2 linked regions of the Tamandua tetradactyla genome follow. The protein of the gene in region 1 purifies or fractionates together with the protein of each later gene. This does not show direct contact. Links are inferred from orthologs where the notes say so. Each region holds a gene or a part of one and is shown on either strand. Other genes may lie near its edges.

Region 1 (8,159 bases):
TGGGAACCATTTTTAGGGTTGGAATTCTTTGCATGATTACTGCCTTCCATCCATTCTTTGAGATTCAGTTCACCTCACACCTCAGTGTTGGAAATTCCCTGCTAACTGGAATGGCTGCATATCTACATATCCTCTGAATATCTTCAGTGCTGAATGTCCACAACATTCTATGCTATATCTTCTTCCTAGGAGAAGGTGAGCTCCCTGGAGCCAGGGTTTGAGTTAGCTGCAGATTTTTAATCCCTTCAAATCATCTGGCACAGTACTTAGCAGTACAGTGACTACTTGCTGAATGAACAAATGAATGAACAAAAACTGACATTTTTACTTTGCTCAACCACTACTCTCTTTAAATTCTTAGGATATAAAAGGAACTGACAAGATGTAGTAGAGAGGCTGGAGGGAACTGCCTGAAAATGTGGAGCTGTGTTCCAGTAGCTATGTTTCTTGAAGATGATTGTATAATGATATAGCTTTCACAACGTGACTGTCTGATTGTGAAAACCTTGTGTCTGATGATCCTTTTATCTGCCTTATCAACAAATGAGTAAAACATGAAATAAAGATGAATAATAGGGGGAACAAATGTAAAAATAAATTTAGATTGAAATGCTGGTGTTCAGTGAGGGGGAGGGATGGGGGTATGGTTTGTATGATTTTTTTTTCTTTTTATTTCTTTTTCTGAATACGTGCAAATGTTCCAAGAAATGATCATGATGATGAATACGCAACTATGTGATGATATTGTGAATTACTGATTATATATATAGACTGGAATGATCAAAAGTTAAGAATGTTTGCGTTTGGTGTTTTTTGGTATTTAAAAAATTTTTTTTCAAAAAAAGGGACTGAAAGCACAGTTATATTCTGGAATTGATATTTACCATACCTTCTATTTCATCTTTTCAAACACAAGCCCTGCTGATATAAAGTTTAGACTTAGCTTTTCAGAAAGGTGGTTTCTGGAAGAGGATAGCTGCATTTGTGGACAAAATGTACACAAGTAAAGACAGCTTCTTTCATGAAATTCTAAACTCCGTAAAGAGAGGATCCCCAAGAACTGCAAGGGCAAGTAAGGAAGACAGATAAGGGGAAGAGTCTCCTATGTATGTAGAGCACTACATGTTACAAAGTGATTCCACATGTGTGCTTGGAGGTACAAAGGGCAGAGTTAATCAGGGATGTCTGACTCAGGAACTGAAGCTCAGAGAAGAGAAAGTACCTGGTCACAGTGACTAAGGAAAGGCAGACCTGGGAATGGAGCCTTTCTCCTAGCTTGCAGCCCACAAGGCTGTCTATCTAGAACATAAAGTAGCTGTTACAATGTATTCCTTAAATCCAAGACTGAAGGCTAAGGAGAGTCAGGAAGAAAGTTTACTAGGAGGTAGTTTCATATCAGGTCATCAAAGGACCTTAAAGATAACTAGCATTTATTTCTAACCACTCTCACCCACCAGAGTTGGTGAACCATGATTCTCAACATGTGTGTGTGTTTTGTTTTTTTTTAATATTTTTATTGAGAACTACCCACAAACATTCAGCCCAACCACAGTATATAATCAATGGCTCACAACACCACCACATAGTTGTGTATTCTTCATCATGATCATTTTTAGAACACTTGCATCACTCCAGAAAAAGAAACAGAAAACAAACAAACAAACAAACAAAACCCCTCATACATCCCATACCCCTCATCCCTCCTTCTCACTGACCTACAGTACTTCGACGTACCCAATTCTTACCCTTTACCTCCCCTTATTATTTGTTTATTTTTAATTCTGTTTCTTCTTCTTCTTCTTCTTTTTTTTTTTAACTCATCTTTCCATACCCTGGATAAAAGGAGCATCAGACACAGGGTTTCCACAATCCCACAGTCACAATGTAAAAGCTATATAGTTATACTGTCATCTTCGAGAATCAAGGCTACTGGAACACAGTTCAACAGTTTAAGGTACTTCCCTCTAGCCACTCCAAGACACTATAAGCTAAACAGGGATATCTATATAATGTGTAAGAATATGTGTGTTGTAAGCTCTTAAAGCACTTCCTCCCGAGCACACGGAGTTATCTGTGTTTTCCTTTTTAAAGTTCTAGGAGGCAGTACTCAAAACAATTCAGCTCCTCAGAGTCAGTCCATGAGTTAAAAATTCAGTTAAAATGAGCTGAGTATCAGAGCACAAAAGATCCTATTCAGCACCTGAAGCCTCTTCACCCAAAAGAGGAGGAACTAAACCCGATGTCTTGACTTGGGGTTTCCACACGTCTGTGACTGAGTGAGCGTTTTTAAATGAACCCTCACGGGCTGAAGATGGAGGCTTCCATCCACTATTTCTCAGTTCGGACAGTCAACTACCCAATAAGTCTGGAGTACACGTACACCGTGGATACCAATGAGATAAAAACCTCAGCTCCTGCCCTCCAGAAAGTCCTTCAGCACATCCTTACATTCAGTTTCCTGAGGGGATCATCATACTTAGGGTACCTTCTGTGGGGCCCTGCGCTGAGTAAGAGTTCGACAAACATCTCTGCTGGCACAGGTGGTAGGTGGCAGAACTGAATCTTAGCTCTGCGACTCTTCTGCTGTGCAAGACGTTCCACATCTCCGGACCTTAAGTTGTCACATCTGTACAATGTTGATAATAATACCACCCACCTCATAGGTATACTGACAGACTGAGCTTATGAACAACACTGGGAACTGACTACGGGCTCGGATACGGTAGCTACAATGCTATTTTGGGTTCTGTTTGTTGAGGTAAGGGAACTAAAGGAAGGTACGAGAGACGCGGCGGCCGCGCGGCACGCAGAGTTCCGGGAGGTTCCGCGGCCTTCCCCTCCGAAAGGAGCCGAGCGGCAGGGCCAAAGACCCCAAACCTCGGGAGAGTGGAGGAAGCTAGACGGCCCCTCTCTCGGGCTGAGCGCAACGCGGCAGTGGAATCCGACAGGGCGAGTTCTGTCCGGTCAGCAGACGCGACCCCGGCCCGAATTCCGCTGGGTGTCCCGGGTCCCAACACTCACCATGACTGCGTCAGTGGCGGCTCCGGCCCTCGGACGTGGCAGCTCCCGGTTCCTCCCAACGGCTCACTTCCGGTGCCGCTCGGCCGGAGTCTCCGGTAGCAACCCACACCGGCGTGCAAAGGTTCCGCGCAGTCTAGAGGCCGCGCCGCGCCCTCCCGTGGCCCCGCCCCTTTAAGGATCCCGCGGGCTGACCAGATGAGGCTGCGGGTTCCACCCGGACCCTGACCAGGGGTCACTTGGAATCCGAAACTCAGATACCAAGACCGTCTTCCCTCCGGGCCAGTCCTTCCCTTTTCCTGAGATCCGTAAATGAAAGAAAGGATTCATAACTGCAGCTTCCCCTGCCTCCCTCCGGTTCGGGATGCGACCGTCCTTATGACGAAACATTGTAGGATGATTAAATATTGGGGGATGGGTGGGTAAACTGGACGCACCCAGTACTTTCTTGTTGTTAGACCTTCCTCAGAATCCAAGGGCTGGGACGCCGTGAGGCTTGTTACCCCTCCTTCCCCTAGTCATAGGGCCGATGCCCTTCCCCACGGTCCGGGATCCTGTGAGTCTGGCCCGTCAGGTAATCGACCGGGCAAGGAGGGATCTTAGCCAGGTTCCTACAGCTGGAGCCCAGACCCAACCACTAGAGTCCCCAGTCCTTAAGTCCCTGGTTGTCCAAGGGGAGGACCCCAGTAAGCTCAGTGAGAACCCTGCACCGCTGGACAGAGATGGGGGCTCCTTTCTGCCACACATGGCCCAGGAGTCTGGCCCCTCATGGCACTGAGGAGAGTGACCCAGCGTGGAACCTAGATTCCCCTTAGATGACAGTTTCCTCTCTTGAAAACAGGGTAAGAAATCTAGCTGGATGATTACCGCTTGAGGAAACTCAGGACTTGTACTTCCTTCCAACGGATTTCAGGACTTGTTTATCCCTCTAATGGAAAAATATTGCAGGACTGTGTGGGAAGTGGGGCGGGGGGTGGGGGGAGTGGGGACTAGTATGGAGCAGAGAATAAAGGTGGGGATCTCTTGGGTTTCCTGTTCTTAAAGGAATAGACCTTGGCCTCCGGTCTGTAGCTGCACCACTGATTTCTCTCAGTGATAAGGCTAAGTCAGTTTTCTCCCTGAGCCTCGTTTCCTGAACTGGAAAATGGGGATAATGGCATATCAGATATAATATAAATATAATGCATGGTGGAATAGTTGTTATTAAAAGAATGTCCTTGCATAGGCCTTGAAAAAGAAATTGAGAATTTGGGACAGAGAATGAAACTGTATCTTACGCATTGCTGCAGACCTGAAAGACAGTGTTAATAAACTGGTTTAGAGTACAGGGTCAGGAAGGAAACTCTTAGTTTAAATACTATATTGCCTACCAGCTAGTAGTACCAAGTGGGAACTGTAATAATACACCCTCTGAAGGTTGATATGAGATTAAATGGATGTGAAATTGGAAGTGGATGGGCCTGGGAAGAGGCTAGGATTTGGGGTTCATGTGTGGCTGCATCTCCCATCCCTCACTCAACATTGGGGATGGTGTCTTGCTCTGATGCTAAGCAGAGGTTTACAAAGTTCAGACACTTTGGGTACCAGGCTCCCCTCTTCCTAATAGGGATGCTTCTTACATCCTGTGTCCATTATCTCCTGCCCCCAGAACCAAATCAGGCCACTCTTAGGTCTCCCCAATTTGTGACCCCCTCTCCCCCGAGTCCCTTTGCCTGCATCTTCTCCTCCTCCTCCTGAGGCCCCTTCTAAGATTTTATTCTCTGGGACTATTGGCCATTCCTCATGGAGGGTCAGTAGCTGATGGCAGGTTAAGTTTGTCTCTCTCCTGGATTTTCAGGTATGAATATGCACTTGTTCCAGAAGGTATGACCTGGTGGAAGGAGATACACAGCCTTGGGACTTCCCTCCCAGGGACTTAATTTCCCCGGAATTTAAATCCACGAGGGGTGAGGTGGAGACCCAGTTGTCCTGTGGAAAAAGGTCTTGTGATGTGTACCGTGTCTGTGTTTCCACGTGTGCATTTATTGTTATTGCTCAGTATAGTGTTGAAAAGGCAGACAAATCCCATTCATTACAGAGAGCACAAGCCAGAGATACAGAGAAATAAAGAGTGTACAATAAGAGCACAGTCACTTCCCAGTCCCATTTGTCCCAGAGCCCAGGCAGCTTGTGGAAGCTGGAGGCGGCACCATTCTCTCGCTACTCTGTTATAAAATATGTGCACACAAGAGTTAGCAAAGTGTGGTGACCCCCAAAAGGTCCGGGAGAGAGAGCACCACAGGCATTACAAAACACGTAGGGGTCTGAGAAGGGCAGTCCCAAAGCAGCCTCAAATATCTTGTTTTAAGGGGAGGGGGTGTAGGCTGATGCCCAGAGCCTGAGACCCCCTTTCCCCTACTTGCATGGGTAGATCTCTGCATCAAAATCTGGGGAGCTTGATTTGGAACTTGGAAATGACCCAGGGATTTCCTGCTGTTATCTGATTTAGGATTTGGCTCTGTAAGATCCAAAGGCTTTCTAGAACTACACACACCGCCCCCACTCCCAAGACCCTCTAGTGGTAGGGCTTCAGACACTACGTCAGGAGAGAGATTTTTGTGGGTGGCTTGTCAGAGGGCACTAGGTTGGCAGCCTTCTGTAGGCAGAACAAGAATGTGGTGGGGAGAATAACAGTGGTGATAAGGTCCAGATGAAAAATTGCTGTATCCCAAAGGACCTGTCACACAACCTCTGAAAACTCTGGGTAAGAGCAGGAGGTTCTTAGCTTCTCAACCCCCAAACAAAACACAAACCCCAAAATAGACAGAACCTGCTCAGGAAAGGGAGATGGGAACAGACAGTTCTCCACGATGAGAAATTAGAAGTACATGACAACTGGGCCACATATTCCTAACAAAGGTCTCTCTCCTAGGAAGCTCTGGTAGCTCCAGGTCTGGGAGAGACGCCACTTTCTCAGCTGAGCTAGGGGCAGGAGGAGCACCCCCTCCAGCAAGGCTAATGGTGGGGTGACTCTGGTTCCCAAGCTGAGATTAGGTGGGAGCTCAGTGGCCTTTCCTAACAACTCCTGAGCTCAGGTGACAGATGAAATGATGGGAGGGGCACAAGGCTTCTGGCAACTGGCACACTCTCTTTAGCGGCCTTGAGTGGCTGGTAATTGCAATGAAGGGAAAATGCTTGCACACTGAATGACAGGACCCAAAATTTGGGGTAGGAGGAGGGCAGGGATGGGTAGAATTGGCAAAATGTTAAAGTTGACTTCAAGGAGCAGATGGAAGAGAACAACCAAGAAATTTTGTAAGAGAAGAGTGAAGCAGACTCACCCCACCGGTTAACAAAACGTTATAAAGCTACAATCATTAAAACTGCGTGGCTTGTGCCAGATGAGACACCCAGAAAAGGGAACAGGAGAGAAATTCCAGAAACAGTCCCAAGTCCCTGTAAGACATGGCATTTCTAAAAGGCTGGGAAAAAGAGGGCATTATCCAATATCGGGGACACCCAGGATAAGACAGGGATGGAGGCATTGCTCCAGTACTGTCACTGTCATTAGTCTGGTCTCAGAAGCATGGCGCCCTCCCTCGTGTTGGGACAAAGGGACGGGGGGGCAAGGGGTGGTGGTGAGAGGCTAACAGGAGCAATCGGGGCTGCTCCTGAGTTAGGGAAAGCTCTGCCTGAGTTTCAGGAAAGAAATTCCACAGTCTCCTCCCTGCCCACTTCCAAAGGTGGCTGACTCGATAGCCTTAGGAGTCCCTGAATGGGGCTCCCTGCTCTTCCCTCATCTGTCATGGGGGGCAAGTTGGTGAGTTTAGACTTCAGAACTGAATCAGTTATCTTCTCCGGGGGCTCCTGTCTGCAGGACAGAGGAGAAACTAAGTGGATGGTGCAGCCCCAGCCATAGAGAAAAAGTATACAGTACAGAGTATAATATACTTACTATGTTGTTTGAGGTTGTTTTTTGCTTTTTTTTTTTTAACCAGACATTTCAAAACCACACTGAGGGATTAAGGAGTCAGCAATTGAAAGCATAACCATTGCATAGTATTAAATGAACAGAGACGGTGAGTTTTTTTTATTTACAATTATCGTCTAGATAAAAAAATTCATAAAAACAGATGAATGGTCATAAATTATTTACCCCCTAATGGGGTGAACTGCCAAACGTACCCCATGCTGCTAGATATAGGACGCAGAGTGCAAGCTTTACGGACTACAGTGAGTTTTGACAAACCAATCATTTCCACTGTGTGTGGGGATGTATGCAAGTGTGAGAGTGAGGGGGTGTGCACTGAGGGGCTATCATTCCCGACAGAAAAAGACCAACATGAATGCTGTCCTTTCTGAGGTGGCTTCTGTCACTCCCTATTCCCAAGCCAGGCTCCCCTTGGAGAGGCCCCTCCTGTTTGCCCTGCAAGTGGAACAACCCTGGTGTCACGGGATGAGGTTATGGACATGTGAATGGTACAAAGAAGGGGAGGATGGAAAACGTGAGAAAGGAAACTCCAAAAAACACCATGTTCCACGGCTGTCCCATGTTTCACATGTGCAGGTCTTTCCTTCCTCTGCAGGAGGGTGCAGCTGAGTCCAGTGGCATATCCGAGGGCTGGAGGTGCGGTTTCCTCTGCCGGAAACATTTAGAGATATTTCTCCACGCTGTTCCGATGATGCTTTCTGCCCAAGACAGTCCTACTTGAAAGCCTTCTTCTCACAGGCAGGGTTAGCTCGGTGGGCTGGGCTGACTCTGGACCCAAGCTCTCAAGTTTCTCCAACAGCCATCCAGACCCAGGCCCTCCCAGCTGACTATGGCTCTTTTCCCAAGTGGATCTCATCTGGTTTGTGGAAGAGTTCTCTGGGCCCAGAGAAAGGAAGGGGGCCAGGCTGACACAGAACAGCTCTGGGAAGGGTCAGCGTGGGGAATGAATTTTGCAAGCGAGGCGGAAAGGGTTTGGTTTTTCCTTGAAGCATGGGACATCATCGATCATGGTATTCAAAATGTCTTTTGCACTGTACAAGTTTATGGAAAAAGATCGTATGCTGAAAAGTCTCAAAGCAAACTTTGTATTAAATACAAAAGTTCTTTTATGAAAAAAGCTGAGACCCACAAAGTGCTTAGCAGTTAAGAGGCCAACATACAATTAAATAAG
Region 2 (7,254 bases), on another chromosome or scaffold:
AAACCCACATGCATATGGCTGATTTTTAACAAAGGTGCCAAGGTAATTTTATGGGGAAAGGATATATTTTCAACAAATAGTGCTGGAACATATGGATATCCACTGGGGGGGGGGGGGGATAAAAATTAAAAAGTAAGAGCAGAATCTATAAAACATATAGACAAAGCAAAGGAGAACATCTTTTTTACTCTGAATGAGACAAAGATTTCCTAGAACACAAAAAGCACAAACCATGGAAGGCATAAAAGAAAAAGATTTATAAAGGACTTCATTAAAATTAAAAACTTTCCCTCTTAAAAAGATATTGGAAAGTGAAAAGGCAAGCCATAGATTGGGAGAAAATATCTGTAAAGCATCTAATTGATAAAGGACTTCGGTCCAGAATATATAAAGAACTCTTACAACTCAAGAAAAACAACAACCAGATAGAATGGGAGAAAAATTTGAACACAGTTCACCAAAGAAGATATACAAATGACATATAAGCATGTAAAAAGATTCTCAATATCATTTGTCATTAGAGAAATATGAATTAAAATGACACTGAGATACCACAACACACCCACTAGAATGGCTAAAATGATATGACTGATCATACCAAGAGTTGACAAGGGTATGGAGCAACTGCATTTCTCACAATTTGCTGGTACAGGTGAAAAAAAAAATGGTATAGAAGAACTGAGCTTCTTCTAGCTAAATATGCATCTACCCTAACTCCTAGCAATTCCACTTACCCAGAAGAAAGGAACGTGTATGTGCAAACAAACAAAAACTACCAGCTTGTACAGGAACACAGAACAGCTTTATTCACGGTAGCCAAAAATGGAAACCCAAGTATCTATCAACAAGAAACATGATTCATACAACATAACAAATCCTAAAAACAATGAGTTCTTGAAAAACACACACAGAAAACAAATACTGAGCTAAATTTCAAGAGCAGGCAAAATTAATGTATGGTGCTAGAACTCAATGTGTGGGATGGTGGAAACTGACTGGAAAGGGAAATGAGGCTTCATGTCTGGGTTTCCATGGGTCCTTGAACTACATGTAATTACATGCATGGGGCATTTTTGGAGGGAAAATTTGACTATAACTTACATTTCTTAAGCGTCCTTGACCCCAAAAATAAATTAAAAAGGCTAAGACCACTGGTCTAGATGAACTACCCACCCAAGACTATCCTACTCTCTTTAATCTATGCTGAGACATCACTGAATGTGCTAATTACCAAATTGCCTTCATGTGCCCTGATAAGAAGCAGTTGCCTGAACAGCAGACAACTACTATAAGAGGTATATTAATAAAATGTTATTCAGGTATTCAGGGTTATTTATCATTCTCTTGAGAGTCTGATTAGAGTAAACCCAAAGCACAGATTAACTCTCAAATACAGAAAACAGTTTCATTTGAATTTGCAGAGTCCAGGCTTAGAGTTTGGACTATGAAATTCTTCCAAGATGGTGCCATGCAGTGAGGCTCTGTCCACAGGCAAACCAGCTTCCTAGCGGGTCTCCCCAATACCAATGCAGAATGTGGTTACCACAAATTAATCATCATCACTTGGGGGAGGAAGGGGGCCTAGCTGAACATTTTGTCCCTTTTGAAAATGCATATCCCAGTATCAGAGAAAAGGTTCTCCAGGGTTTGACAGGGAAGTTTCCCTCATTCAAAGATTCTGACATAAGTGGACTGTGAAACGAAAAGACGACATATACTTTCAAAAAGTTATATCAGTAATCCTGGTTTTCTAATTCTTCTTCTTACATACACCACCAACATTGATATAAATACTTGATACATATTAAATATTTAAACTTTACAGCAGTAAGCTCAATAGAAAGTAATAACCATGTTAGTTTGCTCCTACTTAATATCTCATGTCTTATTTCTGTCTATTTAGCTTTGAAAGATCCTTATTTTCAATGTTTGGTTTGTCATAGACTGCTTTGCAATCTGGTGGTTTTAGATGAAAACTGTTGTCATTTCAACTTTCTAAAAAGCAAAAACACACGCTCAGTTAATTACAGTTTGTTAACAGCTAAGAAGTACAGAACTCTGAAAGCCTATAACAGACAGGAGATAGTTCACCTACTCAAGGTCAGGGTAGGCTTTCCTGAAAATGAAGCTGCTGGTGCTTGGATTTGAATAGTGAGTAAGAGATAAACCAAAACCAAAGGGGGGACTATTCCAAGCAGAGAAAGCGGTAACTAAATAGTATCTAAAACCTAGGAATCTATTTATAAACATTAAGATCATCCGCAGTTGACACTGTTCTCGAGTTCAAACGGAGTTGAATGCAAACAGAGCAATGAAACTAGCAATAGTCTCCCGAGAGAATAAGTTTAATAAACCTCGGGCCAACACTGTACAAACAGCTGACAGAGTCCAAGCTCCCGGCATTACGATGTGGAGTTTAGTTCGGCTGGAAGAAAAAATCTTCCTTCTGCTTGGTCCAAGCCTGCTCTAATACCCAAGAGGAAAGGCCAGGGGAAATGGGAAGGACCGGAGACCTAGGGAGGGAGCAGGCCCTCAGGGGACAGGTTTCTGAGGGAATAAAAGAGCAAAAACCCAGTTACCACTGCAAACCCAACTCTGGCATCTAGTTAGTGTCGAGACCTCCCGACCGTGGCCAATAAGCCGACATTCTCGAGGGCGGTACGTAGGTTAAAAAGCCCAAAACGTACAAGCAGGCACAGCCTTCGGACCATGAGGGCAAACAAGCCTATTCGGGGATGCCCTTACAGTGACTACTGGCTCGCCATCGAAATCCTCCATGTCGCCGCGACCCAGCCGCCCGGAACTCGCAGGGACGCCAAAGCTCCAAGGCTCCCGCTCGACCCGCCTGCTCGCAGTCCGGCTGGCAGAGAAGACCCCGCCTGAGCGCCTCCTGCACTGCCGTTCAGGCCCAAACCCTCCAAAACGGCAGGCACCTCTCTTCTCAGTCACAACCCGTCTTCTGCGGCCTTCTAAAACTATCGCTCCTTCCTGGCCTCGACAACACATCAGGGAAAACAGCCAAGGCCACTCTGTCCTCACAGTAATTCTCCGCACCGATCAGGCGCCGCCGAGGACAGCCCCGCGAGCGCGGCGCGAGCGGCACCCCGGGCGGAGGCGGCGCGGGTGCGCGTGCGTGGCCTGGGGCGGCTCCTGGCGCTTGGGTCCCGGCCCCGCCGTGTGGAGCGCGCGGTTTCCCGCGTGGCCGGCTCTGCTCGCCTCCTCCTAGTCCCCTTGATACAGTCGCTGCTTCTCCTGGCGGTGTCCAAGGAAAGGGAGCCCCGTCGGCCCAACGGACTTGTGTTCGAAGGCAGTAGCCGCCACTCCCACCCCAAAACACAGGACGTACTTGAACGAAACTGATGCCGCTGAAACAGAGACAGATAGGCTGGTTTAATTAAGCACAAACACTGGTTTTCTTTCTGCAAATAAAGGCCGGGACCAAACAATAGCAATCAGGGAATCCGTGCCTCTGTTACAGAAAACTTAAAAGTGCCCCCAATAACTTCAAATTGTGAAATTGGTTTATTTTCAATGCCATATAACAGTTGTCAAGTAAGAGAATAGTACTTTTTCTGAATTTCTTATGTAAAGGACTTTTCGAACGAACTAAAGATATTTGAAATTTGAAAGACTTAAGAATGCCTGAAAATGTAGCAGCTTCCTTTATTTAGGAAAGAAATTATTTTGAAAACCAGACAAATGTATGAGTGCCCTACCTGGAAAACTTCTTTCCCTGAGGTTATTCCGAATAATCTATTTGTATTAGTGGAAATAAGATGACTTCGAGAGTTAGGAAAATCCTCTCACCCCAATAAAACTTTAAGGGTTTTTTGTTTTGAACACGATTGTTAACTAAGAGAAGGAAAATCAGTGTCATCAAAAGCCCTGTCACTGAGGTCAGACATCTGTAGGAAGAAATTTAGCATAGCCTTACACAAAACTCCACAGCGTTTCTACCATCTGTATTTTGCTGCATATTCCAAATGGTTCACAAAGTTTCACTGATCTTTTTGTGACTGCCTTAGTGATCAAACCCGGGGGGTGGGGTGGGAGGTTCTCTGCCCAATTTACACAAATGAGCAATTCCTGAGACGAGGGTTTCACTGGGAGAAAGCATTTATTGCCAAGTGCGAAGCAAGGAACAGATGGCCTGTGTACCCAAAATCTTTGTCTCCAAACTACAATAACTCTGAGAGTTTTATAGTATCAAAGGCAGGTTTTAGGATAATGAGTAGAATGGCTCACAATGACAAAGTTAGAGATGATCTAATTAAGCATGCACAAGTTGATTACATGCCTAGATAGAGAATATATATATAAGAAGGTGGTGGCTTTAACATGATGATGGGTATGACTTTTAGTTTTATCATTAGGTATAGGTCACATAGGTTAAGGCTTACCCTACTGCACTTGGCAAATGGGCCAATTTTAGTTAGATCCAGTTTTGTCTAGTAAAATAGCTTAGGAATTGGGGTGGGTTCTGGGCTCCTTAAGTTACTTCCTTAATAAACATTAAGAGGCTGTCTAGTTATCACAAGACTTAAATGTTATAAAACAGGATAAAGGGGTATAAGCGGGGCCAGTTACAAATTATCACAAGGCTTTTACAATCATAAGATAAAGAGATAATCATCAAAATCAAGGCATCTGGTCAATGGCTGAGAGATTCCAAACAGGGTCGAGAGGTTATCCTGGAGGTTATTCTTACGCATTAAGTAGATATCACCTTGTTGTTCAAGATGTAGTGGAGAGGCTGGAGGGAATTGCCTGAAAATGTAGTGCTGTGTTCCAGTAGCCATGTTTCTTGATGATGATTGAACAAAGATATAGCTTTCACAATGAGACTCTGTGAATGTGGAAACCTTATGTCTGATGCTCCTTTTAGCTACTATATCAACAGAAGAGTAGAACATATGGAATAAAAATAAACAGGGGGAACAGGGCAGTTCACGGTGGCTCAGCAGGTAAGAGTGCTTGCCTGCCATGCCCAAGGACCTGGGTTCGATTCCTGGTGCCTGCCCATCTGAAAAAAAAATAATAGGGGGAACAATGTTAAAATAAATTCAGTTTGAAATAGTGGTAAATGAAAGTGAGGGGTAAGGGGTGTGGTACGTATAGTTTTTTTTTCTCTATTATCATTTTATTTCTTTTTCCGTTGTCTTTTTATTTCTTTTTCTAAATCGATGCAAATGTACTAAGAAATGATGAATATGCAACTATGTGATATTAAGAATTACTGATTATATATGTAGAATGGAATGATTTCTAAATGTTTTGTTTGTTAATTTTTTTAAATTAATAAAAAAAATCAAGGCATCTGGGTTAAGGTTCAGGGAGTCTCAGTAGATTCAGATATTTACTTTGGCTATTCTACAATTACTCGAAGGTAAAAAGGTATCTATATAATGATTCAGTCATCATAATCATTTGTTAACTCTTAACCTCTCCGAAACAACTGGTACCACAATGGGGCTTATGAAGTATGAGCATGATATATTTATGTCCAGTTTTAAAGGGGAAAAAAGAGGTCCAATGTTTCCAAAAGGAAAATAAACATTCAGTAGCAGATAGATGAAATTTTTTTTGTTTTATTTTTTTGCATGGGCAGGCATGGGGAATCGAACCCAGGTCTCTGGTCTGGCAGGCAAGAACTCTGTCTGCTGAGCCACCATGGCTTACCCTAAAATAGCTTTTGTATCTGCTTTGGCTATTCAAAATTCTTGAAGTAGAAGTTAAAGCCAAGTTTGATAAGACATTGATACTTAGAAATCATTCCTGATTTCCCTCAGAGAAAATTCTCTGAGACAAGATGGGCGTAGAAGGAAAGGAAAAGATCACAGGACAAAAGACCAAAAAGAAAAACCATCCTTTGCAAAACATAACTTAAGGAAAATTTAATTTGAACAAATGAAAACAAAAGAGCTTAGAGAGATATATAAAATAACTAGAATATGCAAATTAATAAAGACAGAAAGTAGAGTACAGTGTTCTAGCTGGCTACAATGCAATATACCAGAAACTCAGTGGCTTTTAAAAAGGGAATTTAATAAGTTGCAAACTAACAGTTTTTAGGCTGAGAAAATGTTCCAATTAAAACAAATCTATAGAAATGTCCAATCAAAGGCATCCAGGGAAAGATATCTTGGTTCAAGAAGGCCAATGAAGTTCAGGATTTCTCTCTCAAGTGAGAAGGCACATGGCGAACACAGTCAGGGTTTCTCTCTCATTTGGAAGGGCACATGGTGAACACCACGTCATCTGCTAGCTTTCTCTCCGGCTTCCTATTTCATGAAGTTCTCCGGGAAGCCTTTCCCTTCTGCATCTCCGAAGGTCACTGGCTGGTGGACTCTGCTTCTCCTGGCTATATCATTCTTCTCTGCTCTCTCAGAATCTCTCGACTTTCTTGTTCTCTAGCTTTTTCCAAAGTGCTTCTTCTTTTAAAGGATTCCGGTAAAGCCAATCAAGACCCACCCGGAATGGTTGGAGACACGTCTCCACCTAATCAGGTTTAACAACCACTCTTGATTGAGTCACATCTCCAGGGAGATAATCTAATTGAAGTCTCCAACATACAGTGCTGAATGGGGATTAGAAGAAACTGTTGCTCCCACAAGGCTGATTAAGGTTAAAACATGGCTTTTCTAGGGCACATAAAGCCTTTCAAACCAGCACATACAGGTTAGAGGTTGTGGAAGGAGGGATGAGGAGTTAATGGGTTTCTGTTAGAATGATGAGAAAGATCTCGTGATGAATGGTGGTGAGGGTAACACAACACTGGGAATTTGTTTTAATCCACTAAAGTATATACACTACATATGGTTGCATATCTATTTCCACATTAATGTATTTAATGTGGAAATCACATTAAACACATGCCTTTGAGTATAGGTTGTACCTATAATGATTCTTGAACACTTTATACTTCCATGTACAGTTCCAAATTACACGTTCCTGGATTGGATCTAATAATGGAGGAGAAAAGGCCCAAAAGGACATTATTGAGACATATGAAAAAATTAGTATATAGACTAAGCTTTATATCCATGTTAAATTTCTTGCACTTAATAATTTTACTTAGCGTGATTACATAAGTGATTATCCTTGTTCTTAGGAAATTACATGGCAGTATAAAGTGTTCAAGAAGCATGATATGTACAACTTAAACTCAAATACTTAGAAAATAGATGGATAGATAGGTGACACAGTAAATGTGGCAAAATGTTAAAAGTTGATGGATCTGGGTATCTGGGTGAG

What was found.
Region 2: the proteins of SEC13 (region 1) and NUP85 purify together in Homo sapiens (affinity purification with mass spectrometry; 5 studies listed by BioGRID and IntAct, counting the BioPlex papers as one, with this or other methods). This does not show direct contact. The link is inferred for Tamandua tetradactyla from reciprocal best matches to the Homo sapiens genes SEC13 and NUP85.

What each region holds. Positions count from the first base shown.
Region 1 is NC_135335.1:38,755,756-38,763,914, reverse strand, and holds the start of SEC13 (protein SEC13 homolog), read right to left. Parts: upstream 3,139-8,159; 5' UTR 3,025-3,138; coding exon 3,022-3,024; intron 1-3,021. UniProt on the Homo sapiens protein: Functions as a component of the nuclear pore complex (NPC) and the COPII coat. At the endoplasmic reticulum, SEC13 is involved in the biogenesis of COPII-coated vesicles.
Region 2 is NC_135332.1:15,619,885-15,627,138, reverse strand, and holds the start of NUP85 (nuclear pore complex protein Nup85), read right to left. Parts: upstream 3,088-7,254; 5' UTR 3,007-3,087; coding exon 2,746-3,006; exon of another isoform or gene 2,712-2,745; coding exon of another isoform or gene 2,688-2,711; intron 1-2,687. UniProt on the Homo sapiens protein: Essential component of the nuclear pore complex (NPC) that seems to be required for NPC assembly and maintenance. As part of the NPC Nup107-160 subcomplex plays a role in RNA export and in tethering NUP96/Nup98 and NUP153 to the nucleus.